Linked DNA regions of Callithrix jacchus. The protein of the gene in region 1 interacts with the protein of each later gene in a pairwise test. Links are inferred from orthologs where the notes say so. Each region holds a gene or a part of one and is shown in the gene's direction. Other genes may lie near its edges.

Region 1 (4,102 bases):
GAGGTGACCACTGTTGTCTACCAGATGGTAAGGTCGAGGGCAGGGACCCTGTCTGGGGTGTCCCTATAATTCCCAGCCCTAAGACTGAGCCCTGTTCATGCTGTTGTCTGAAGTCTGCCTACTGCATTGGAAGGAATTTGTCCTCTCAGATCCTGAGGCACCTACTGAGAGGTGATCATGGCCTGAGAGGCCTGAAGATTAAATAGTCCCTGCTCCACCTGACATTTGAGACCTGCATGTTACTTGTAAAATTGATGCCTTGGACAGAAAGAGGCAGAACAACCAAGCCCGGTGGTCAAGGAGAGAGGAGATTTAAGCTGAGTTTGAAGGCTCCGTTATTTCTCCTTTCCCACCCCCATCCACAGTAATGAGTCAGGAGAATTCTGGTGCTGGAAAAAGAGTTGAGGAGGTAACATAGAAGGACAAATCAATGGTCCAGAGTGAGACAGGGAGGAGACAGGGAGCTTAGTAATCTTGACCTTGATGCTCTGGGGAAGGTGGCAACGTGTAGGCTGTAAATTCTAATCCCTGCTCTGACCACGGCCGCTGTATTAAAGAGAAAATTTCTCTTGACCCCTGGCAAGAAAACCAAAACCCAAATAATTTCTCTTGCCTCAATTTACCCCCTGCCATCACATGAGACCTAAGAGAACATACAGGTCAAAGCTGCTTGGGAACCCCGAAAGTGGAATCCATGAGCTACTCTGAGTCTCGATCCTTCTTATCCCTGGATACTGAGTGCCCGTGGATACCCAGAATCTGAAGCAGTCCCATTCTTTTCGGAGGGAGGTCTTTAAGAGTCTCATCCGACTGATGTAGTGTAATTAAGGTGCTATCAGGAAGCAGGGAGATGGATAAGTTGACTCTTAGGGCCCCTTCCAGCCTAAGCCTACCTTTCCTTGTTCCCTCCTCCCCCTACAACCACCAGCTTCTTTAAGACTAGCAAGGAGAGAGTAGGCAGGCCGCCCAGCTAGGAGTAATTGAAAGGAGCAGATGAGAGGGGAATGTGTCCTCCCCCAATGCCCCTTGCCCCACCAGGGCTGCTGAGAAATGAAAACTAATCAAATTACACCCGACAGCCTCCCAACCCGTGCACAGGAGCCCGCCTGGGCCAGGGGCAGGCTGGCTGGGTGGGGTGGGGGCCATAGGGGAGAGAGAAGGGAATCACATGTAATCCACTGTAAACGTCTTGATGTGCAGCAACAGCTTAGAGGGGGCTCAGGTTTCTGTGGCGTTGGCTATATTTATCTCTGGTTCCATGCCAGCGGGGAGGGTTTAAATGGCACCCAGCAGTTGGCGTGAGGGGCTGCAGGAGCTTGGGGGCTGGTGGCAGGAACAAGCCTTTTCCGACCCCATGGAGCTATATGAAACATCCCCCTATTTCTACCAGGAACCCCGCTTCTATGACGGGGAAAACTACCTGCCTGTCCACCTCCAGGGCTTCGAGCCACCAGGCTATGAGCGGACAGAGCTCAGCTTGAGCCCTGAGGCCCGAGGGCCCCTCGAGGACAAGGGGCTGGGGACCCCTGAACACTGCCCCGGCCAGTGCCTGCCGTGGGCATGTAAGGTGTGTAAGAGGAAGTCGGTGTCCGTGGACCGGCGGCGGGCAGCCACACTGAGGGAGAAGCGCCGGCTCAAGAAGGTGAACGAGGCCTTCGAGGCCCTGAAGAGGAGCACCCTGCTCAACCCCAACCAGCGGCTGCCCAAGGTGGAGATCCTGCGCAGCGCCATCCAATACATCGAGCGCCTGCAGGCCCTGCTCAGCTCCCTCAACCAGGAGGAGCGAGACCTCCGCTACCGGGGCGGGGGTGGGCCCCAGCCAGGGGTAAGTGGCCATCCCATCCTCCTGCCCCAGGGGCAGGGCGCCAGAGGGAGGCACCTGGACAGCCTCAAGACCCCAACAGGGGTTCGGAGGGTTGAAGTAGGTGCCAGACAGGATTGAGGGGCTGCAGGAGCCCTTCCCTGGTCAGAGCTGGGCTGTCCAGCTGACCTCCCGTGTTCTGTGTTCTTTCCCGAGGAGATAAAGGCAGTGGGGAGGAAGTACAGGGGGGTGGGAGTGGGGAACACAGGACTAAAGAAAGGATCGGGAGCAAGGCTGAGGATTAACCCCAGCGCCTGAGTCAGAGCCTAAATGGCCAGGCCAAGTTCGCCAGAGAAGACTGCCTTGTCCCCCGTCTCGCCCCATCCTGGGTGTGGCTGAGCAGAGAGAAAACCCACTCAGTCTCACTGGAACTCCAGCAGGCCTGTGCAGAGCGACTCTCACTGGGCCAGTCTGTTCCCATTACCCTTATCCCCAGGGTCAGGAGAACCAGGGATCCCTTTAAGCTGGTGTCCTCTGAGGGCAGAACCACCACCCAGAATGGAGGCCAGGAAGGCCTGGAAGCAGGGCCTCTGGGGAGTGGAGGAGCTGGTTGCAAAGATTCTGGGGTTGGGGATGGCCTACACTGGAAGGCCACAGCCTGTGGCCCACCCTCTGACCCCACCACAGGTGCTTCTGCCCACTGGGACTAGGCAGACAGACACATCAAAGAATGGCTGTGCCCTGACCTTGGGCCTTCGCCCTGTCTTGCAGGTGCCCAGCGAATGCAGCTCTCACAGCGCCTCCTGCAGTCCAGAGTGGGGCAGCACACTGGAGTTCGGTGCCAACCCCGGGGGTAAGTGAGGGCAAACTTGGCTCCAATCCCTCAGTCCCTCCCTGGGCCAGGTTCTCCCCTCTTACCTTCTTCCTTGCTCTGGTCCTCTTCCTTGGGTCTCTGCAGGGACCTGCGGACTCCAGGGCCCAAAGGGTGGGCTGGGAGGTTCCGTGTGCCCCTATAGTCTTGACCAGCAAAGGAGTGATGGTGGCTCCTGCAGCTCCCCAGCTGATGCCTGGTGGCTGACCTTCTCCACAGAGAGGGCAATGTCCCCGCCCCAGGGGTCCCTGCGAAGTGCTGAGTCAGTGCTGCAAAACTGGGCCCAGAAAAGGGCAGGTCCAGTCTCTGAGGAGCTCCATCCTGCTCCAACTGGAGTGGTGCTTCCAAATCCTACCTCACTAGGGGATTTCAGAGAGGAGGGGAGCATGCGCGTGCACACACACACAAACACACACACTCACACACACAGAGCATGGGGAAAGGCAGGGACTAGGGAGTAGAACTCCCGAGCTTTGTCACCCATCTGTCCTGGAAAAACTGTGTCACCCCAAGGGTCCCATTCCCCATTCCCCCATTCTGGGCCTCAAGAACCCCCACTGCTCACTCAGGCACCACCTCCCACCTCCCCTTACAGATCCTCTGCTCGCGGCTGACCCTACAGACGCCCACAACCTGCACTCCCTCACCTCCATCGTGGACAGCATCACAGTGGAAGATGTGTCTGTGGCTTTCCCAGATGAAACCATGCCCAACTGAGATTGTCTGCCAGGCCGGGCATCCTTGTGAACCCCCAAGCTGGCCACAGATGCCACTGCTTCTACAGCAGGGGCCTCCTAAGCCAGGGCACCCTGATGCTAGGAAGCCAGCTCTGGGGTGCCATAGGCCAGACTATCCTCTTCCTCATCCATGTAAGGTTAACCCACCCCCCAGCAAGGCAATGGATGCCCTCATTCAGCTGCATCCTTGGAGGGCATCCCCTTTCCAGGGAGGTAAAGCAGGGGACCAGAGCACCCCCTGGTGTATGCCTCAGCTCAGGGGGCAAACTCAGGAGCTTCCTTTTTAATCATAATGTGGCCTCTAATCCCACCCCCCAAATGAAACGGTTTGAGAGACAAAGACAGTGTCCTGACCTGAACAAGCTGTGCATGTCTCCTGTTCTGGTCTCTTCCCAATGCCAGTGGCTGGGCTGGGCCTGCCCTGAATTGAGAGAGAAGAAAGGGAGAGGAACAATCCTCTGTTCCCGAGTCTCTGGGGGGCCAAGCTTTTGCAGTGAATATTGGGAACCTTCCAGTGGTTTTATGTTGTGTTTTGTTTTGTTTTGTGTGTTGTTTGTAAAGCTGCCATCTGACCAAGGTCTCCTGTGCTGAAGTTGCCAGGGACAGGCAGGGAAAGGGGGTTGGGGGCTCTTGGGGGTGATTTCTTTTGTTAACTAAGCATCGTGTGGTTTTGCCATTGTTTTGTATTTTTTT
Region 2 (3,399 bases), on another chromosome or scaffold:
ACACCTTTCAAGAATTGATTGCTGGGATTCATTGACTAAGAGAATAAAAATGAAAGAAAATATTGAGATGGTGTTATCTCTTGTGAGGAACAGGGAGAGAAGGGATTAGGCAGGCAGAAGGGTATCAGAGAAAACTCTGCCCTTGTGGTACACAACTAACTTCGATTGCCACACATTCTTCAAGTTGCCAACCTTTCACAGATATGATGAGGTGATACGTAAATATACTGGTATATAAAATATTATTTGTCCACTTTTTTTTTGTTTAGTTTTGGGTTTTATTTTTTTCTGGCGGGGGGGGTTGGTTTTTTTTCTTGAGATGGAGTCTTACACAGTCGCCCAGGCTGGAGTGCAATGGCAGGATCTTGACTCACTGCAACCTCCACCTCCTGGGTTCAAGGGATTCTCCTGCCTCAGCCTCCCAAGTAGCCAGGACTACAGGCATCTGCCACCATGCCCGGCTAATTTTCGTATTTTTAGTAGAGATGGAGTTTTGCCATGTTGGCCAGGCTGGTCTCAAACTCCTGACCTCAGGCGACCCACCCATCTTGGCCTACCAAAGTGTTGGGATTACAGGCGTGAGCCACGGCACCCAGCCTCACTAGTTTCTTCTATGTCTTACCCAACTAAATTGTTGGTTTTGTAGAGGCAGAGCATTTGCCTGTATTGTGGCCCACTGTGCTCTGGGATCATAGCCCTAAAGCAACTGCCTGACACATAGTAGGTGGTCAATAAACACATTTGATGAGTGTATAAACGGTACATCACCAGCAGTACTCACCTTCAAACAGAACTGAAAAATTAAAATGAAAATCATCCAATTAACTTTATATATTAACAGAGTTCCTCATACATAGTAGATGGAATGCTTTTGTGAATATTATCCCTGGAACAGTCACAATAATCTTCAGAGGCACTCATTTCATGTGTGGAAACAAAACTTGGAGAAATTAAGTGACTTACCTAATATCACTCAGATATTAAATGATAAAACAGAGAGAGATTTGAGCTTTGAACCCAGCCTACTGCTTTTTAAAAATTTTTTTAATTATTGTGGCCAATAGTAGGTAAATATGGGGTACATGAGATATTTTAACACAGGCATGCAATGTGTAATAATCACATCAGGGTAAATGGAGTATCCATCATCTCAAGCATTTATCCTTTGTGTTATAAACAATTTAATTATGCTTGTTTAGTTATTTTTAAATGTACATAAAGGCCTATAGCTATTTATACCATGACTGTTGCTTTTGAATTTTTAGAAATTGATTGACAAATGGTATAATTATAGACTTATTTAAAATAGGTTCCTGGCGGGGCATGGTGGCTCACACCTGTAATCCCTGCACTTTGGGAAGCTGAAGCATGTGGATCGCCTGAGGTCAGGAGTTTGAGACCAGCCTGACCACTATGGTGAAACCCTGTCTCTACTAAAAATACAAAAATTAGCCAAGCATGGCAATGGGTGCCTGTAATCCCAGTTACTCGGGAGGCTGAGACAGGAGAATCGATTGAACTCAGGAGGGTGAGGTTGAAGTGAGCCGAGATTACACCACTGCACTCTAGCCGGAGTGACAAAGTGAGACTCCACCTCAAAAATAAATAAATAAATAAATAAAAGTTGATCATAATGAACACCTAGGGTTCAGAACCACCAGTCTAAAAGATTGTTGCAACAGTCTGTTTTAGAAACAGTCATGAATTGGCCAGTTGGAAGCGAATTTTTTTTTTGAGACAGAGTCTCACTCTCTTGCCCAGTCTGGAGTGCAGTGGCGCAATCTTAGCTCACTGTAACCTCTGCCTCCCAGGTCAGAGCGATTCTCATGCCTCAGCCTCCTGTGTAGCTGTGATTACAGGTGCCCAACATGAAACCCAGGTAAGTTTTATATTTTTAGTAGAGATAGGGTTTCACCATATGGACCAGGCTGGTCTTGAACTCTTGGCCCCAAGTGATCTGCCCACCTCAGCCTCTCAAAATGCTGGGATTACAGGCGTGAGCCACTGCATCAGGCCAGAAAATAAATTTTAATATAAAGAAGATGTCACTTTTTTGTTTGTTTTGTTTTTTGAGATAGAATTTCACTATGTTACCCAGGTTGGGGTGCAATGGCACAATCTCGGCTCACTGCAGCCTCTGCCTCCCAGGTTCAAGCAATTCTCCTACCCCAGGCTCCCAAGTAGCTGGGATTACAGGCACACATCACCAAACCCAGCTGATTTTTTAAATTTTTAGTTGAGACAGGGTTTCACCATGTTAGCTAGGCTTGTCTCAAACTCCTGACCTCAAGTGATCTGCCCACCTCAGCCTCCCAAAGTGCTGAGGTTACAGACGTGAGCTACCGTGCCCAGCCAAGAAAATCTTACTTCTATTTCCCTCTTCATTGGAAGATGGCTTAATAAAAGTTACTATGGGTATTTTTTAATTCCCTAAAAGCATAATGGCCAAATTTATTTAAATATTATTAGTAACCCTTAGTCTTAATGTGCTTCGAGTTTCATATTTAGAAGCAAGGAGTTTTTCCTCAGTGATGCTATTCAGTTCTTCTTCATGACTTCCAAATATGGCACCATGTGTGCATTTCTGATTCTTGTCTCTTCTGAGTTCTGTGAAGTTTCACTTTGTCCCTTCTCAGGTTTTCCTGTATGAGATAGGACAAATTCCTTTATGACTTAAAGCATATATTTAATATTTTAAAGGATAATATCGTTAATGCAAATCTGACTTTCTAGAATCTTACAGGCTGTTTTCCCATCTCATAATCAGGCAGCTAACCTTTGATCTGGAACTGAGGTCATCTGACACACTTGCAGGTTGGCTGCCATGTTATGAGACTCAACAGAAAAACTATATAATTATTAGATTTACCTTAATGACATTTATTTTGGAAAAAAGATTTGTGGTTTTAGCTTATAATTTTCTATGTGGTTACGTACAGGTGTAAAATACTAGACAGACATCTGGTGATATTGTCCAAGAAACACCTCGAGACCAAATTTTTGAAGCTGAATGTGGAAAAAGCACCTTTCCTTTGTGAGAGACTGCATATCAAAGTCATTCCCACACTAGCACTGGTAAAAGACGGGAAAACACAAGATTATGTTGTTGGGTTTACTGACCTGGGAAATACAGATGACTTCACCACAGAAACTTTAGAATGGAGGCTCGGTTGTTCTGACATTCTTAATTACAGGTAACTTTTAACAAAAGATCATACTGATTTTAGTTCATATAGTTGATATTTTTACAGAGGACTTTTGTATTGTAACATTTATTTTATGAAATTAATACCTTTCGGCTAAGGCATAGAAAGTTTCTCAAAGGAAAAGCATATTTCTTAAAGCATGTGTTATTAGAATGATTTTACAGCAAAATCAGATTTACAGATAAAACTGATT
Region 3 (3,500 bases), on another chromosome or scaffold:
CTTGCTTGCTCATGGATGGCTCATTCCTTTTCAAGTGAATGTGCTTGCTCTGCTTTTTTTTGCCTTCTCACTGTTCTTTCCATTCTCGCTTTCCAAAGACGGAAGCAGCACCAGCTCTGTTAGGTAAATGCAAGACTTCCAGCTCCAGGAAGCAGGTTGGTTTTCTGTTCTGCCTCGTTCGTTTGTGGGTGTCTGTCAGCCCTCCAGGGCCAGTCGGGGGCCTCTCCCTAGGAGTGATGCTTCCTCTATCCTCAGCAAAAAGCCTCTCGAAAGGGGTCCCACAGTGAGAGCGGGATCATTAAAGGCCCCTATGATAAGAAGGAGGCACAAGCCCCGAGCCTGGAGATGGGGAAAGCTCAGGCTGGGCAGCCTTTGGGCCCTGGGCTGTAATCTAGAAATGAAGGAGGATGCTGAGGGCCTGGCCCAGGACCAGCCCTCTCCTGTACCCTGTACTGGGGAAGGAACTGGGAAGCAGTGCTATTCCCAGACCAGGCCCTCAGGGGCACCGGGTAAGATGAGGCTGAGATGGCAGGTTGCCTTGAGCTTTAATGAGTGGATAACTCACTGGAGCACTTCACCAGAAGGGGAGCCTGGGGATCTTCGTGGGTGTCCCGTCATTCAGGGCTCTGCTGGCCATTACTCAGGCCTTTGTTCTTTGTTGCCGTCCCTGGAAGTGCTGCTCAGTTCACAGCAAAGGGCAGCTAGACAGAGTGACCCCAGGCTGCTTCCATTAGTGGGTGCACCTGTGTCTGGGGCATGGCACTAGCGGCTGCAGAGACAGAAGCAGGGCCGTGTGTTCGTGCACATAGATTTACACACCCGCAGCTGGTGCTGCTGCGGAATTCACTGTGGGGAGAGGCTGCCCAGACTTGCTGGCAGCATGCACAGAGATCGGGTCTTGAATTCACAGGTCAAGGTCTGTAGAGAAGCAGAGAGAGCACCTAGTAAGTAGTTTCCTTAACAAGCTCGGGCGTGGATGGTAAATAGCTTCTCTCCATCTTGCCTACCCAAGACAGAAGCTGAGGGAGTCTGACATGGGCACTGGGGATTCAAGGTCAGCACGGCCTGCCTCTTCCTCAGTGTTTGCATTCTCTGAGAGAATGTGTTAGTTGCAGCTAAGCTTTATCCCTTGTGGTCACTTGTTAATTTCAAGGAGGCTGTATCCATGCAGCCCTCCAGGCACAGGGTTCCGTTCTTTATGTGTTGACTCAGCATCCAGCACATGTCTGTCAAGTGCCCGCCAGTGCCAGTGCTATCATGGATCTTGGGGAACACAGCAAGGGGGCAGAGAAAAGCCCCTGCTTCATAGCTGGCACCGCAGCAATAACAATGGAGCCGAGGATCAGGGCTCATGCTGTTAACAGGAGGAATAACAGCTTCAGGGAGTGACAGGGACAAAGGAGGCAGTGGCATCTTCCATGAGGTCAGCAAAGGGCTCTATTGGTGTTTGAGCAGGGCCTGAGTGGAGGGAGCAAGCATGTACATTGGCAGTACGTGGGTGTGTGGATGCGCTTTTGACGTCAAGAAGCAGAGGGAGCTGGCGTGACTGTGGGTGAGCGACAGAGGCAGCGGGGGCTATGCAGAGCCTTGAAGGGTGAGATGAAGACTCTGCGTTTTATCTGAGTGCAAGGAGAAGGCCCTGGAGAATTGTGAGCCCAGAAAGGCCAAGAGCTGACCTCCATCTGAGAGAGGCCAGTTAGGAGGCACCTGCAGCCATGGAGGTCACGGGTGATGGTGCTTGGCTGAAGGTGTGGCAGCAGAGGTGTTGAGAATTGGGCAGGTCCTGGATGTCTCTAAGAACCATCAGGTTTTATGAATTGATCAGACAGAGGCTATTAGAGAAATGAGGGTGCCTGGGCTGTGGTGTAATCAACAGAAAGCAGTGTTTCATTTTCTGAGATTGGGCCAACTTGACAAAGGGGCTTGGAGGGCAGAAGGACAGTTTGGTTTTGGACATGCTAGGGTTGAGTAGCCAGGTGGAATTTAAGTCTGGGGTTCAAGGGCCAGGTCTGGGCTAGAGATTGAATTCTTGGAGCCGCCCATATTTGGATGGGGTCTAAGCCACAGGATAGGTGTCACTGCCTAGGGAGAGCAAGTAGAACGAGAAGGGAGGCGGCCCCAGCTCGTGAGCTGCCTCTGCCCTGCAGAGGTTGGGGAAGCTGAGGGAGGGGGACCTGGACTAGAGAAGGGGCCCTGGGGGTTGGAGGAGATTGGTTTTAAGGCTGAAGGTGTGATTCCACCGCTCACGCAAGTTGAGGCCTCAGAATCTTTCCACTTTATTGAGTGTTTCACTCTTGACAAAAGCAGTCCTGGGGTCAGCGGGTGAGAGCCCGAGGAATCTGAAGCGGCCGTGAGGGACACAGGTGCAGACAGTGAGTTCAGCAACTCACTCAGGAGCTCTGCGTGCGGGGAGGGAGACGGGCCAGAGCAGCTGGAGAGGAGGGTGGGAATACATAATGGATTTTTTTTTTCAAGAAGGAAATTAAAGCATGTGTGTGCGCTGTCAGGAATGATGTAGACAGAACGACCGGCCCTCCTGGTTTCCACGGGGTGCAGGACCCATTTTAAAGCTGAGCTGATTGGGTGCGCTGGATCTGATGAGGGAGAGGGTGTCTTACTTTGCTCCTTATACCCATGCCTGTGTTGCTTTCCGTCCACAATCTGCAAAAAGCCAAAACAGGCCTCCCTTCCCTCTGTCCAAACCTTTGCCCTCCTTGCCATCTGTAGTGGGGGGTCTCTGGGTCCTGTGGTCCTCATTTCAGATCCAGAGTGCTTCTGGGACACTGTGGCAAGGCCAGCCCCTGTAGCGCCACACCCAGATGCACCTGGTGTTTGAAGGATTCTGGTTGAATGATACATTCCAGCCAGCAGAACATTGCCTCAGTCCCATCCGTGTGCCATCCCACAGCCTGCCTGCCATTCTGCCAGCCTCTTCCTTCACATGGGGATGCTGCTATAGAAAGGGAAGCAGAGAATCCTAGGACAAGATGTCAGGAATGAGGTGGGACCCCCTGTTGTATCTGCCGTCTTTTTCCTATAGGAGGATTCGGAGGACAGTGAAATTGACATGGAAGATGATGATGAGGAGGATGAGGATTTGGAAGATGAGAGCATTGCTCTCTCGCCAACCAAGCCCAATCAAAGGGTCCAGAAACCTGAACCGCTGGAGGACAGTGACAACGACTTCTGACCTTCTTGCTAAGGGACCCAGGCAGATTAAAATCCTCAGTTGTGTAGGTAAATGGGAACTTAGGTTAGGAAGGTGGCTCCTGTTTTGCTCACGAAGCTAGCTGGACTCTGAATACTGAAGCAATACTTATTTCTGCTTTAGGCTCCTGTGATTGCATTCCATGAAGCTTAAATAAGAATGGAAGCAAATCTCAGTTTGTTTTTCTTTTTCACCTTTTTATCTCCTAAAACTTGAGGAATGTGAGTGTTGTTAGTGATTGACATCTGCAGGACAAAAACTCAAGGAGAAATAAGAGCTGATGCCACGCAAG
Region 4 (4,214 bases), on another chromosome or scaffold:
TGAAAGTCCTAGATGGCATCTTCTTCCAATAGAAGGCTGTTTCCTCTACGTTGAAAATCTGTTGTTTAGTGTAGCCGCCTTCATCAATGGTCTTAGCTAAAGCTTCTGGATAACTTGCTGCAGCTTCTACATCAGCACTAGCTGCTTCACCCTGTGCTTTTATGTTATGGAAACGGCTTCTTTCCTTCAACCTCATGAACCAAGCTCTGCTAGCTTCAGACTTTTCTTCTGCAGCTTCCTCACCTCTCTCAGCCTTCATAGAGTTGAACAGAGTTAGGGCCTTGCTCTGGGTTAGGCCTTGGCTTAAAGGAACGTCGCGGCTGGTATGATCTTCTAACCAGGCCACTAAAACTTTCTCCATATCAGCGATAAGGCTGTTTCGCTTTCTTATCATTCGTGTGTTCATTGGAGTAGCACTTTCAATTTCCTTCAAGAACTTTTCCTTTGCATTTACAACTTGGCTAACTGTTTGCCGCAGAAGGCCTAGCCTTCGGCCTATCTCAGCTTTTGACATACCCTCCTCACTGAGTTTAATCATTTCTAGTTTCTGATTTAAAGTGAGAGACGTACGACTCTTCCTTTCACTTGAGCACTTAGAGGCCATTGCTGAGTTATTAATTTGCCTCATCTCAATATTGTTGTGTCTCAGGGAATAGGGAGGCCCAAGAAGAGGGAGATGGGGAACAGTCTGTGGGTGAAGCAGTCAGAACACACACAACATTAAGTTCGCTGTCTTATAAAATATAAAAGATGCAGTATGTGGCACTCCAAAACAATGACAATAGCAACATCAAAGATCACTGATCACAGATCACCATAACAGACACAGAAATCATGAAAAAGTCTGAAATATTTTGAAAATTACCAAAATGTAACACAGAGACACAAAGTGAGCACACGCAGTTGGAAAAATGGCGCTGATACAATTGCTGGGCTCAGGGCTGCCACAAACCCTCAATTTGTTTTTAGAAAGCCCTATCTGCAAAGCGCAATAAAACGAGGAATACCATAATAGAGTGGCGCCGCCGCCAAAGGAAAGCCTTGGGGAGGTTAAGAGAGATGCCGGAGGGTGCGTCCCGCACTGGAGGAGGAGGAGGAGGGTTTTTACCAAAGCAGCGAGTCCAGAGTCCGCGCCGTCAACGACCGCGGTGCTGTCTTTTTTCCGAGCCGCTGCGGGAGGGTGCCAGGACATGCTCCCTTAGGAGAACTGGCGGCTCACAAACACCGGGACTGGGAAAAACCTGAAGCCAGCAGTCAGCTCCGCTGCCTAGGCCAGCCCTCTGCGCAGCCGCCCCGGGCTGGCGTCCCGGGATAGCAGCCCCCAGCCGGGCCTGCGCGCCGACGTTCCGGTGCGCCTCGCGCAAAACCGGAAGTAGCCGGGCCTAAGGCTGAGGGACCCGGTGGAGCGGAAGTCACTCCTTGAGGCAGTGGCGACAGCGGCGGCGAGAGGATGAACAACAAGTTCGACGCGTGAGTGGCTCCTGGCCGCCCCTGGGGCCCCTTCCTCCAACCGTTCCCCGCTCCCGCCCCCACTGGGGCTGAGGAGGTGCAAAGCCTGCGGCACCGGCTTCCCTCCCGGGATCCGGCAGCGGCCGGACCTGGCCTGGGCTGGAGGGGAGGAGGGGGCTGGGGAGCGATGGCTACAGGGGTTCCTGGGACCCCAGGGCCGTCCGGACCGAGGGCGAAGAGCTGGGCGTGGGGAAGGGGTGGCTGTGCCGCCCTGTAGGGGGAGATTTTCGGACGCCCCGCCCCGAAGATGCGGGTTGCCGGCGACGTGGAGGGGTGGGGACCTCGGCGGTTTGGGTGTTTCCGCAGTCTGGCCGCACTGCCTTTGAATCTAGCTTTCCTCACACACTCCCTCTCCCTTCTGAGCCTCAGTTTTCTCATCTGCAGAGTGGGGACGGTAACAGCCTGTGTCTTAGAGTTTAGCGGATGCAGGGAGGTAACGTGGCTGCTGCGCTCGGCGCAGTGGAAGGCTCGCTTAGGAATGATATTCCTGAGACTCTACTTTCTTTCTCCTCCCCCTCCGGTTCCCATCTTCCTACACATTCGCCCAGAGCTAGGTATACTTGTTGCCCTCTCCGGTTCCTAGTTTCAGCATCAAACGGTTTGGAGGTACAGAGAGAAAATGCAAAAGTATTTTTACTTATCCCCCTCCAAGGATTGTATCTTGAGGTAGAATATGCTCCTACTCTCTTCTAGTAAATCTGTCTCTTCATCCGAAGACCTGGATTTCTAGTCTCAGACTTACCGCTTTCCAGCTGTTTGCAGAAAAGTTACCCAGTCTCTGAGTCGTTGTTGCTTAAACCACATTAGTGGATAGTATCCTGCTGCCACACCGGGGTGTGAGAAGGGTCAGCTCACACTCAGCAGTGCTTAAAGATACTTGTGAACATTGCTAACTATTGCGATATAACCGTAAAGTGGAATTACTATTAGTTTAGGTTGTGACCTGGTGCTATTGACGGGAAATTGGGTTTTTTTCCAATACAGCGAGTACTGTGCAAATTCAGGGAGTACTGGATTTCCAACACTCCAGGCAGATGGCTCCTCAGCAATGTTTCCTGGCTGCCGAGATGTCTCTGCTATTTGAGAAAGTCTTTTCTCTATCCTGCTGTTTAACTGAGCCCATCCTATACGAACCTCTCCCCTCACTCCCACCCCATTTCATCTCTCTTGTAAACCGTGCAACACCCAGCTTCAGATCCAAATCCTGCCTAAGTGGAGCTTTCTGGGACCCTTATTCCCCTTCCTCCACTGATTTGAACAAATCAAATTTCATCCTAAGAAGACGTTTTATGGGTCATCTAGCTTAAGCCTACCCAAATCATGTGGGGGTCTGCAGTAAGAATGGTAATAATGGACTTCCACAGGGATCTTGCTAGGTACTTTTCATATAAATATATTTTTACAGACAGAGTCTCACTCCGTCACCCCTGGCTGGAGTGCAATGGTGTGATCACAGCTCACTGCCCACTTGACCTCTCGGGCACCAGCAATCCTCCCATCTCAGCCTCCAGAGTAGCCAGGACCACAAGCATGTGCTACCCTGCCTGGCTAAATTTTTTTGTATTTTTTGTAGAGACAGTTGCACCTTGTTGCCCAGGATCTCAAACTCCTGGGCTCAAGAGGTCTACCCACCTTGGCCTCCCAAAGTGCTAGGATTACAGGGGTGAGCCACCGCCCCCAGTCTCATGTTATTTCTACTCTAACAATTCTGAAGGGGATCTTGTTATCTCCTTTATGGATAAGGAAAATGAGACTGAGGTTAAGTAACAGGAAGCGCTCTCCCAGGTTTGTGGTGTAACCTTGGTTCAAGCACCTTGAGACAAAAATTATATTTGGCCTTTTTTTTTCCTTATGTCTTTAATGAAAAACCTGGGTCATCTTAATTACTTTGAATTATTAACTATTACATTGAGCCAGAATCTTTTAACATCTGCCCTCTAGCATTGCAGGAAAGAAAATGAAAAACAAGCTTTCTTTCATTTGAAATTAGCAATTGAAAACAGCGCTCCTGGCCCTAGTTTTATTTTTTTATGTTGTTTTTCATTCAGAAATTCTGTGGTGTTTAGGCCATTGCTGTATATTTGGAGTCTTTACCACGTTACTCTCCTTACTAATCTTCACTCTTTACCACATTGCTCCTGAGGACATGTTTCAGTTTGTCAGAAGCCTAGAAGTCCAGTGGCTGGAGCTTAGTACATAATCTAGTGGGCTCAGATTAAAGAGTAGCTCTACTCTCCATTACTGTATAGACTCAACTTCTCTGAATGAAACCTTTTATTGTAATTGCTTTCGTGGAGAAGGGGTAGACTTGCCAAGTCCTTAGATCACATTGCCATTGATCCTATTGATATGTAAAACCCTAAGATGCTATCACAAAAACTGCAGTCCTGACTTTGTTAAACATGGTTTTCAGATCTAGACAACTATACTGATTTTGTCCCTATTCTATGTCATTTGCTTTTTACTCTGTATCGTTAACTTTGGGCCCCTTCCTAACTATTGTCTAAACCACTTATTTGGCACTCATTGCTTTGATTCTAGAGACCATTCATTAAATAGGGATTTGTTTTATGCCACTGTCTGATGGTGGTGGTATAAAGATGAATTGAACTAAGGTCCTACCCACAAGGAATTGGTCTAGTTCAGAGGGTGAGGAGATACCTGGGCAGAAGCTTAGCAAGCTGACTTAAGTGCCTCTCAATCTG
Region 5 (2,746 bases), on another chromosome or scaffold:
GTGCAGACATCTTCTTGACCTGTCACTGTGTGGGCCAGTGGGATGCAGACACCAGGCACAGCCTCGTACTGTCTAGTCTCATCGTAAATTGGCTTTAGACCCAATTTTCCAGATGTGTGTCGTCTTGCAGTAGCACTCCCAAGTCAGAATTTGGAAAACCGTCTCTCTCCAGGGCCTTGACTGACTTGTACCTCCCCCTGCAGACATTCTCATCGTCAAGCTGAGAAAGGGCCAGGAGCTGAGACTTCGGGCCTATGCCAAAAAGGGCTTTGGCAAGGAGCATGCCAAATGGAACCCTACCGCAGGGGTGGCTTTTGAATATGATCCAGACAATGCCCTGAGGCACACAGTGTACCCCAAGCCTGAGGAATGGTATGTTCCCTTTAGGAGTGGTGGCAGGCATTTGGGGGGTGGGCATGGCATGGAAATGGCTGCTGGTGACTGAGATGTGGCAGGCTCTCTAGGAAATTGAGTGCCCCAAAAGCAGCAGTGGCAACCTTGTGCTGACCTGTGTTTGACCTCAGGCCAAAGAGTGAGTACTCGGAGCTGGATGAGGATGAGTCGCAGGCTCCCTATGACCCCAATGGCAAGCCAGAGAGGTAAGACCCTGGTTGGACATGAGAAGGTGAAGGGGCTCAGAAGGGATGGTTTTGGTGCAAGCTCTGGGCTCGGCAGTCCTTCTTCCCCACCTTGAAGTTCTTGTAAGCTGAGGAGGGGCTGCTGACTGCTGAACTTGGCTATTTGCTATGTGTATGCCCTGGGGGCATGTCGCCAGCCCCCACTTTGGTCACTGTGACAAAGAGGACCCTCCAGTTACCGGTTTTTCCTATTCTGATTTTCAGCCCCCAAAGAAAAGATTCTTCAGATCAAATCTAGGGGCAGAGATTTTGACCCAAGTTCCACAGGGGCAACTGAAGGGGCTGTGACACTGGTCACTGCTCACATGGTTTTCTACTCTCTCCTCAGTGAGGTGTGTGTTCATACAGAATCTGAGGATTTTCACAGGTACTCTTATGAGGTAGTTGTAGCCTCCTTGAGGTCATGCAGTGTGTTGAAACTACTCTATGCAAGAGGTTTTAGATGAAGGGAAGTCAGCCCCGGCCCAAGGTCAAGTTCCATGTGGGAACAGAGCCAAGACCCTGAACGAGGAAGGGTTCTCCATGGCCAGAGCTCAGGTTGGCCAGCCTGCCTTGCAGGGTGCTCACTGGACTCTTACCTCCTAGGTTTTACTACAATGTGGAGTCCTGTGGCTCTCTGCGTCCTGAAACCATTGTTCTGTCAGCCCTCTCTGGATTGAAGAAGAAACTGAGTGATTTACAAACTCAATTAAGCCACGAGATCCAGAGTGACGTGCTAACCATAAATTAGCTGCAGCTTGCCTGCTTCAGCAAAAACGGAGATTCAGGCCAGCAGCTGGATTTGAGGGTCTCTCTTGAGGCTCTTCTAGTTTCTGGGAATTTAGTCTACTGCTTCTTGAGCTTCTTGGCAGGTCATCAGTACCAACTAGAAGCGGGTCATAGATAGATTACCAGGGATGCGGTGGTGTTTGGGCAGGACAGGTTTTTATTGGTCCTGACTGCTTTTAGTAATTGCCAGCAGGGCTCCCCAGATCCCAGAACGTCCCTTCCAGTCTGTTTGCAGCGCACCTGTAGGGAACCCACTGAACTTCTCTCCTGGTTAGTCTGGGTCTTTACGCTAAATCCTTCCTGTCCAAAAGGAGTAATTTTCAGTTGTACCTTAGATTTCTGGTGTTAGGATCCAGTGCCACAGTCTTGATTCAAGGAGCTTATAAACCCTTCTAGTCCTTGCTCCAGGGCCGGCCTGCTGGCACTTTATATTCCCAGGTGTCCCTCATTTGAGAAATAATCTTTTGGGAATAGCATTACACCCTGGCTGTCCCCTCCCCACCAAATAAACACAGTATTTCATTCTCTACCAGCAGTTATGAACCCCTTCGCCACCAGTGGCCTAATCACTGAGTTTGGTGGTGGTGGTGGGGGTGGAAGCAGCCGCAGGAGCAAGAGCCCCTCCCACATACACAGGAGAAGTATTTCATTTCTCCTTAATGAAGGCTCTGGCCCTAACCCCTTAGCACTGTTTCCGGGTAGGAACACACAAAGAAGTTAATTAGGCAGCCTGGAGAAAAGCAGAGATCCAGTACAGAAAGGAAAGGATATTTATTGATTAACAGAAGTTGTCTTTTTAAAAGTGTTTATTTTTGGCAATAAAGAGCACAACATAATCTCCTTCATGCGTCATCGTGCCACTTAGCTGAGCCAGCCAGCTCTGCCTCCCCCGCCAAAGACCTTTGGACCCCCGTTCCCCCCTTCAGGCTAGCTCATCCCTCTGGGTGGTCATTCCCTGGTCACGTTGAGAGCTGAGCTGACTGTGCCACCTCTCTGGCTCAAGGGCTCCTTTGGGAGGGGCCGCATGCTTTATCATCCTCCTGCCACAACTCAAATAGTGGTTATTTACAAGAAGGTCTGTTCCCACAAATCAGGACCCTAAAGTTTTAAAAAACAAAACAAAACGCAAAAAACAACAAAAACCCCACACAACCAAAGGTTTGATGTGAATAGAAAGATAGATAGCCCTTCTGCGTGGTAGTCAACAAACACCAGCACTAGAAAATCAATTGCTTTAATTGCATTTCAGCAGGGAGCCTCAGCACCATGTGGGGAGGAGGAAATGGGAAGGTCTTGGTTTCAGAGTGCTTTTGGCTGGCCAGAGTGGCCAGACAGGGCCA
Region 6 (2,481 bases), on another chromosome or scaffold:
TTTAATGATATAAGAAATTTTCAGCCTATCCAGATTGCAAAAGACACCAAAATTAGTGAATTCACTGCCATGAAATCATCCTACAGAAATAAAATCAAAGGCATGGCTAGCCATTCTTTTGTTAGTGCCTTTAAGGGATGAAAAGACCAAAGTATTCAATCACACAGATGATGTTTTGAAGAGATATGGGGTGTGCTTCTCAAATATGCAAGGAATAGAGACGGAATTTTCTGAGAGATCTGTGAAGAAGACTCTGTCTAATGGCATGAATCCTCATGACATACATAAAACACATGTAAGTTTTTGAGAATGTTATATCAGCAGAAACAATGCCAGCTTAGACTGAAAGAAAGAAATAGAGCAAGAAATGAAAGAAGGCTATAGGACTCCCAAAATTTGACAGGAGAAAGCAGGCTGATAAAACTACTCGGCTGTAAACACATGCTACCATTCAAAATAAAGGAAAAATGACTGAGGGCAGAACCAAGAGACCAGAGGGAAGATTTATTCCCCCAGGTGAAGTTACAGGATCAGAGTGATCAGAGGGAGGGGTCTCAAGCTGTAGACTATTCCCAGGCCTTGAAACCTAATGGTTAGATTTTGAAATTGTTTGGATTTGAGACTATTTTCTTTCCACTATTTCCCTTGTGAAATGGCAAAGTTATTGGCTGTAAATGAACAAAACTCAAAGGGAAAACACAGAATTAGCAGAGAGTAAAATTAAATAATAGAAAAGAAACAACTCTTAGTGCTTTGGCTTCACCTAGGAGAGACAAGAAATACACATCTGGGCTTAAACTGAGCACAAGATGCACTTCTCCATCAACTATGTTTACCTGGCACTGACAGGTATTGAGCATCTTATTATTAATTGCAAAATGATTAAAAAATATTTTTCAAATAGAGTAAAATCATGACACTCATACAGATATGAAATGAACATATACTAAAAGAAAAGGTTATTATAACAGGTTCAAAAGGGAAACCAAAGAATTGATATGGGAATATTCATCAGGAATATTAAATGATTGTGTGTAAATGGAGGTAAAATTGGTTTCATTAGGTGAAGGACAACTGAACCTCTACTGAAGAATATATCATCCATGTATCTGTGGCCTACAAGTAACAAAAACCTATGCAAGATTTCAGAGATAATGTAAGGCTAGAATCAGATAATTTGCAATGATGTCCTAAAGATAGAGCAAAGTTTTCCACTGAAACACACATTTATTTTTACAATGTCAAAATCAGATAAAAAGTTATAGTTCTCTCAAAATCAGGATTCAGTCATTAGGGTGACTAGGTCAGTGTCACAGACATTTCTAGGCTGAGGTCTGCTCAGGGAAATTCCAAAGTCTAGGATGTCACAAAGGCAGCTAGCTCCCTGACCAATCAGGGCCTGGAGCAGAGAGATACAATGGGCAGGACTAAGTGCCAGTGTCCTTGGAGACCTGCTCAAGCAGGAGAATCAAGCATAGCTCAGCAGAGCCAGACCAAGCAAACATAATGTCAGAAACAGAAAACTGTAAGAACTCCCCTACAAATAACAATCAGAATCAAGAACCTTCAAGAAATGAGCCACAGGTCCCTAGGACCTTCGTTGACCGCCTTCTTCAGGATGAACGAGATGCCCAAAGCCAGACTTCCTCCATGATAAATAGCCTCCTTACCTTGCTCGATTGCCTTGGTGACTTCATCATGGAGCAGGTAGGCCTGGAGGCCAGCCACAATGACAGTATGAACAACACTTCACAAGATGCGGAGAGAGAAGTGGACAACAACCGTGAGCCCCACTGCCTCGAGAGCGATATAACCTGCTTTCTGTTGGATGGGATGCCCAAATCCGAGAAGAATGGCTGAAGACCGAGTTCCAAAGCCTGGAAGGGATCCTCTCAGGCTTAACCAGGGCAAAAACATATCATAGCTGAGGAATCCCTGCTGTTGTCATCAACAAGTGCTATTAAAGGATGTAAATCCGTGAGTATGTTTCTGACTCCACTTAGTTTCCGTCACTTTGGGTTGGAGGTGTTTGTGAGACATCTAGGAGAAGCTATTCCTAGAGAGCTGAAGGGGTGTAGGGGTGGCCAGTGTGGGGAGTTTTGAATTAATGATTTTAGAGGGGGCAGTCTCCAATAGTGACTATGAGGTCACTGGCCTTTTGGGGAGGAACTGGCTGGGGTAGACACAGAGACTTCCTCATTGCCTTGGAACAGGAAGGCCTTGTGAGGCCAGGGGGTTGGCTGGGGACCTCTGAGGCTTGTTGAATTCCCAGCCTGATGCTGGGGCCTGGGGTGGAGCTGCAATCTCTGACTGAGGTGCTGGAGGCTTCATTCAGGATAGCAAAGGTCTGAAGTCAGATGGCGGCGGTCACAGAGGTGGATGGAGAGGGGGCACACTGGCTGGCATGAACTTAATGGGACAGGGGCTTTACATAGACATTGAGGAGTGAAGGAAAAACCATCACGAAAAATGCATAAAAGA
Region 7 (3,278 bases), on another chromosome or scaffold:
AGGGCGCTTAAGTAGGGTCAATGTTTGTGCCAACTGTCTCCCAGAAATCAGCATGGACCAGGCCCACGTAAAAAATCCGCATCAGCCGACGACAGATGTCTCGTCCATCGGTCCACAACGCAGAGCTTCTCTTGGTGGGCCTGAAGGAGCACATGTCAGCCAAGACACTGGGGCAACTTTAGAGATTGTTTCAGGGCCAAGGAGAATTCTCAAAGTTCTCGAGGCCAGGGGGTTGGCTTCAAAACAGCCCCCAGGAAATGCAGCCCCAGAGACACTGCAAAGCTCGAAAGAGACATTGCATTCCTCCCTGTGTCCACTCCCAGGAAAGCACTGGGCCCCTGAAAGAGCTCCAAGGTATCCCCAAAGGCCCAGCCAATCTTGGGAGGGTCCAGAAGGCTGTCCACCGTTCCAGAAGTCACCCCACCTGGTACAATGCTCCTCCCGGGCTTCCAGCACTGGGTGAACCCCACGGCTCCAGAACAACTGCCCTTTCCAAGCTGCAGAGAATCTCAAAGACGTAAAGATCTCTTCTGGGAGGGCTCCAAAAAAATACAGACTTTGCATCGTAAACCCTCGCCTCTGTAAACCCCAGGGCTCCAGTCCCCCCAACCCTCCGTCTCCCAGAGATCCCCAGGGGTTCACCTACAGCCTTTCAAACTTCCCAAGGATCCCGAGACCCCCTTATCTCGCAGCGCAAACCTAGGACAACTAGAGATCCTCTCTGCGCCTCTGAGGTGCCCCTCTCCAGACTCAAGGTTCCAGAAAAAATCCATGCCCTCGGAAACCCCAGAATCTGACTTACTTTCCCGAGACACCCCAGGACCCCAGGCTCATCAGTTCACAGGGCTCTTAATGCTCCTATACAACTCTCGCTCCCAGAGGGACCCTCACCCCGCTCATGAAACCCTTCACTTCCCTGAAGCAGGCCCAGGGCCCCCAACCCCCATCCCCCATTTCACAACAGCCTCGGGTTACAGGCGCGTGACTTCGCCCTGCTTCGGGTCGGGGGGCTGAGACTCCTTTCTGCTCCGGATTGGTCAGGCACGGCCTTCGGTCCCGCCTCCTGCCACCGCAGATTGGCCGATCGCCCGCCCCGAACGCCCCGCCCCCGAGGGCCCGCGCACTATAAAGGGAGCCGCCCTCGCCACGTCCCATAGCAGTTCGGCGGTCCCGCGGATCTGTCTCTTGCTTCAACAGTGTTTGGACGGAACAGATCCCGGGGACTCTTTCTTCCAGCCTCCGACCGCCCTCCAGTTTCCTCTCCAGTTGCAACCTCCGGGACCATCTTCTCGGTCATCTCCTGCTTCTGGGAACCTGCTAACACCGTTTTTGTGGTTAGCTCCTTTTTGCCAACCAACCATGAGCTCCCAGATTCGTCAGAATTATTCCACCGACGTGGAGGCAGCCGTCAACCACCTGGTCAATGTGTACCTGCAGGCCTCCTACACCTACCTCTCTCTGGTGAGTCCCCGGGACGCCCCTGGCCCTAATTTCCTCCAACTGCGCACCTCCGGCCCTCGGCGCAGGCGCCGGCTTTCTTTGTCCGGTCGGGTAAACAGAGGGCGGAGTTCCCCCTGGCCTCGCCTCTCGCTAACCACTGTTCCCTCCATCTCTTCCCGCAGGGCTACTATTTCGACCGCGATGATGTAGCTCTGGAAGGCGTGAGCCACTTCTTCCGCGAATTGGCCGAGGAGAAACGCGAGGGCTATGAGCGTCTCCTGAAGATGCAAAACCAGCGTGGCGGCCGCGCTCTCTTTCAGGACATCAAGGTAACTGGCTTGAGGGTAATGGACTACATCTCCCAGCAGTCCGTGCGCGCGAGGCGCCTTGGCTTGTGGGCTTAGATGTCGCGTGGGCTTCTGGGAGATTGAGTTCGGTTTTGTAAGCGTTCTTAACAGCTGGAAATGGTGTCTCACGTCGTGCAGTGCCCCCATGATGCGGCAGTCCACACCGCTGCGTGGTCTTCTATAGATGTCGTTGTAAAAGATAGGACGGAGTAGCCGGGCGCGGTGGCACCAGCCTGGCCATCATGGTGAAACCCCATTTAAAAAAAAAAAAAAGGACGGAGTTCGGAGTGATAAATACAAGGGTCACATGTCCTTTTGATCCCCAACGACTCTTGGGAAATGTCACTTTGGTTCTTTGTGCCGGTGTGTGTATTCTGAGCACTTTCCCTCCTGTATAGAAGCCGGCTCAAGATGAGTGGGGTAAAACCCTGGACGCCATGGAAGCCGCCATGGCCCTGGAGAAAAATCTGAACCAGGCTCTTTTGGATCTTCATGCCCTGGGTTCTGCCCGCACGGACCCCCATGTAAGAACCCACTGCATCCATCGCTACCCAACCATACCCCTCAAGCCTTGCCTCCCTTTGGGCAGATTTCCTTCAGAGCCACATTTCACACCTGTCACATTTCAATCTGCAGTTGGGAGCTCTCCCTCTTTTCCAGGGACTGGGTTTCTAATTTCTTCCTCTTTTCTCTCAGCTCTGTGACTTCCTGGAGAGTCACTTCCTAGATGAGGAAGTGAAAATCATCAAGAAGATGGGTGACCACCTGACCAACCTCCGCAGGCTGGCCAGCCCACAGGCTGGGCTGGGCGAGTATCTCTTTGAAAGGCTCACTCTCAAGCACGACTAAGAGCCTGCTGAGCCCGGCCACTTAGGAAGGGCCTTTGCAAAGTAACAGCGCTTCTGCCTAAGCCTCTCCCTCCAGCCACTAGGCAGCTTTCTAACTACCCTTACAAGCCTTGGACCAAATGGAAATAAAGCTATTTGAAGCAGCTGGTGGTTTTGTGTGTGGTGTGGTTGGTGCAGAAGATGAGGTGGGATCTGTTCTCATAAAGCTTCTGGCTGGATTGGGATGGCAGCGAAAAAGGCGTTGGCTGCATCTCCGGTTTTCTTATCTGTTCTAAGACAAGAGCTGTCTGTGGGTTATGTTGAGCCTGAGGGTTCTCTGCTTGCCTGGCTGTTAACTGTCCCTACCAGATGGTAGAGATAGAATTCAGGGAGTTGAATTAAGACTCAGGTTGGTCCCTGGAAACAGATCTGTTAGGTCTCAGTAGCCAGAAACAGCCCTATTTAATGGGTGATGGTGAGGCCAGGCATCATGCCAATCTCTTAAATATTGTGTGCCATGGCCGGGTGTGGTGGCTCACACCTGTGATCCCAACACTTTGGGAGGCTAAGGTGGTCGGTCATCTGAAGTCAGGAGTTGAAGACCAGCCTGGCCAACATGGTGAAACCCTGTCTCTGCTAAAAATACCAAAAAGAATAAAAAAAG

Evidence for each region.
Region 2: the proteins of MYOG (region 1) and TXNDC9 interact in binary tests that used the Homo sapiens proteins (3 or more experiments, as listed by UniProt). The two-hybrid records come from large-scale screens. The link is inferred for Callithrix jacchus from reciprocal best matches to the Homo sapiens genes MYOG and TXNDC9.
Region 3: the proteins of MYOG (region 1) and CLUAP1 interact in binary tests that used the Homo sapiens proteins (3 or more experiments, as listed by UniProt). The two-hybrid records come from large-scale screens. The link is inferred for Callithrix jacchus from reciprocal best matches to the Homo sapiens genes MYOG and CLUAP1.
Region 4: the proteins of MYOG (region 1) and EIF4E2 interact in binary tests that used the Homo sapiens proteins (3 or more experiments, as listed by UniProt). The two-hybrid records come from large-scale screens. The link is inferred for Callithrix jacchus from reciprocal best matches to the Homo sapiens genes MYOG and EIF4E2.
Region 5: the proteins of MYOG (region 1) and POLR2C interact in a two-hybrid assay, tested with the Homo sapiens proteins (2 studies listed by BioGRID and IntAct). The link is inferred for Callithrix jacchus from reciprocal best matches to the Homo sapiens genes MYOG and POLR2C.
Region 6: the proteins of MYOG (region 1) and H2AP interact in binary tests that used the Homo sapiens proteins (3 or more experiments, as listed by UniProt). The two-hybrid records come from large-scale screens. The link is inferred for Callithrix jacchus from reciprocal best matches to the Homo sapiens genes MYOG and H2AP.
Region 7: the proteins of MYOG (region 1) and FTL interact in binary tests that used the Homo sapiens proteins (3 or more experiments, as listed by UniProt). The two-hybrid records come from large-scale screens. The link is inferred for Callithrix jacchus from reciprocal best matches to the Homo sapiens genes MYOG and FTL.

The regions. Positions count from the first base shown.
Region 1 is NC_133520.1:30,128,787-30,132,888, reverse strand, and holds the start of MYOG (myogenin), read left to right. Parts: upstream 1-1,302; 5' UTR 1,303-1,354; coding exon 1,355-1,825; intron 1,826-2,572; coding exon 2,573-2,654; intron 2,655-3,267; coding exon 3,268-3,389; 3' UTR 3,390-4,102. UniProt on the Homo sapiens protein: Acts as a transcriptional activator that promotes transcription of muscle-specific target genes and plays a role in muscle differentiation, cell cycle exit and muscle atrophy.
Region 2 is NC_133515.1:8,919,376-8,922,774, reverse strand, and holds part of TXNDC9 (thioredoxin domain-containing protein 9), read left to right. Parts: intron 1-1,026; exon of another isoform or gene 1,027-2,642; intron 2,643-2,939; coding exon 2,940-3,194; intron 3,195-3,399. UniProt on the Homo sapiens protein: Significantly diminishes the chaperonin TCP1 complex ATPase activity, thus negatively impacts protein folding, including that of actin or tubulin.
Region 3 is NC_133513.1:5,645,511-5,649,010, forward strand, and holds part of CLUAP1 (clusterin-associated protein 1), read left to right. Parts: intron 1-98; coding exon 99-155; intron 156-3,040; coding exon 3,041-3,190; 3' UTR 3,191-3,237; exon of another isoform or gene 3,238-3,500. UniProt on the Homo sapiens protein: Required for cilia biogenesis. Appears to function within the multiple intraflagellar transport complex B (IFT-B). Key regulator of hedgehog signaling.
Region 4 is NC_133507.1:153,927,112-153,931,325, forward strand, and holds the start of EIF4E2 (eukaryotic translation initiation factor 4E type 2), read left to right. Parts: upstream 1-1,414; 5' UTR 1,415-1,450; coding exon 1,451-1,470; intron 1,471-4,214. UniProt on the Homo sapiens protein: Recognizes and binds the 7-methylguanosine-containing mRNA cap during an early step in the initiation. Acts as a repressor of translation initiation.
Region 5 is NC_133521.1:15,349,338-15,352,083, forward strand, and holds the end of POLR2C (DNA-directed RNA polymerase II subunit RPB3), read left to right. Parts: intron 1-203; coding exon 204-372; intron 373-524; coding exon 525-599; intron 600-1,223; coding exon 1,224-1,368; 3' UTR 1,369-2,246; downstream 2,247-2,746. UniProt on the Homo sapiens protein: Core component of RNA polymerase II (Pol II), a DNA-dependent RNA polymerase which synthesizes mRNA precursors and many functional non-coding RNAs using the four ribonucleoside triphosphates as substrates.
Region 6 is NC_133524.1:38,777,956-38,780,436, forward strand, and holds H2AP (huntingtin-interacting protein M), read left to right. Parts: upstream 1-1,445; 5' UTR 1,446-1,506; coding exon 1,507-1,860; 3' UTR 1,861-1,981; downstream 1,982-2,481.
Region 7 is NC_133523.1:42,798,139-42,801,416, forward strand, and holds FTL (ferritin light chain), read left to right. Parts: upstream 1-1,155; 5' UTR 1,156-1,359; coding exon 1,360-1,461; intron 1,462-1,622; coding exon 1,623-1,769; intron 1,770-2,185; coding exon 2,186-2,311; intron 2,312-2,483; coding exon 2,484-2,636; 3' UTR 2,637-2,778; downstream 2,779-3,278.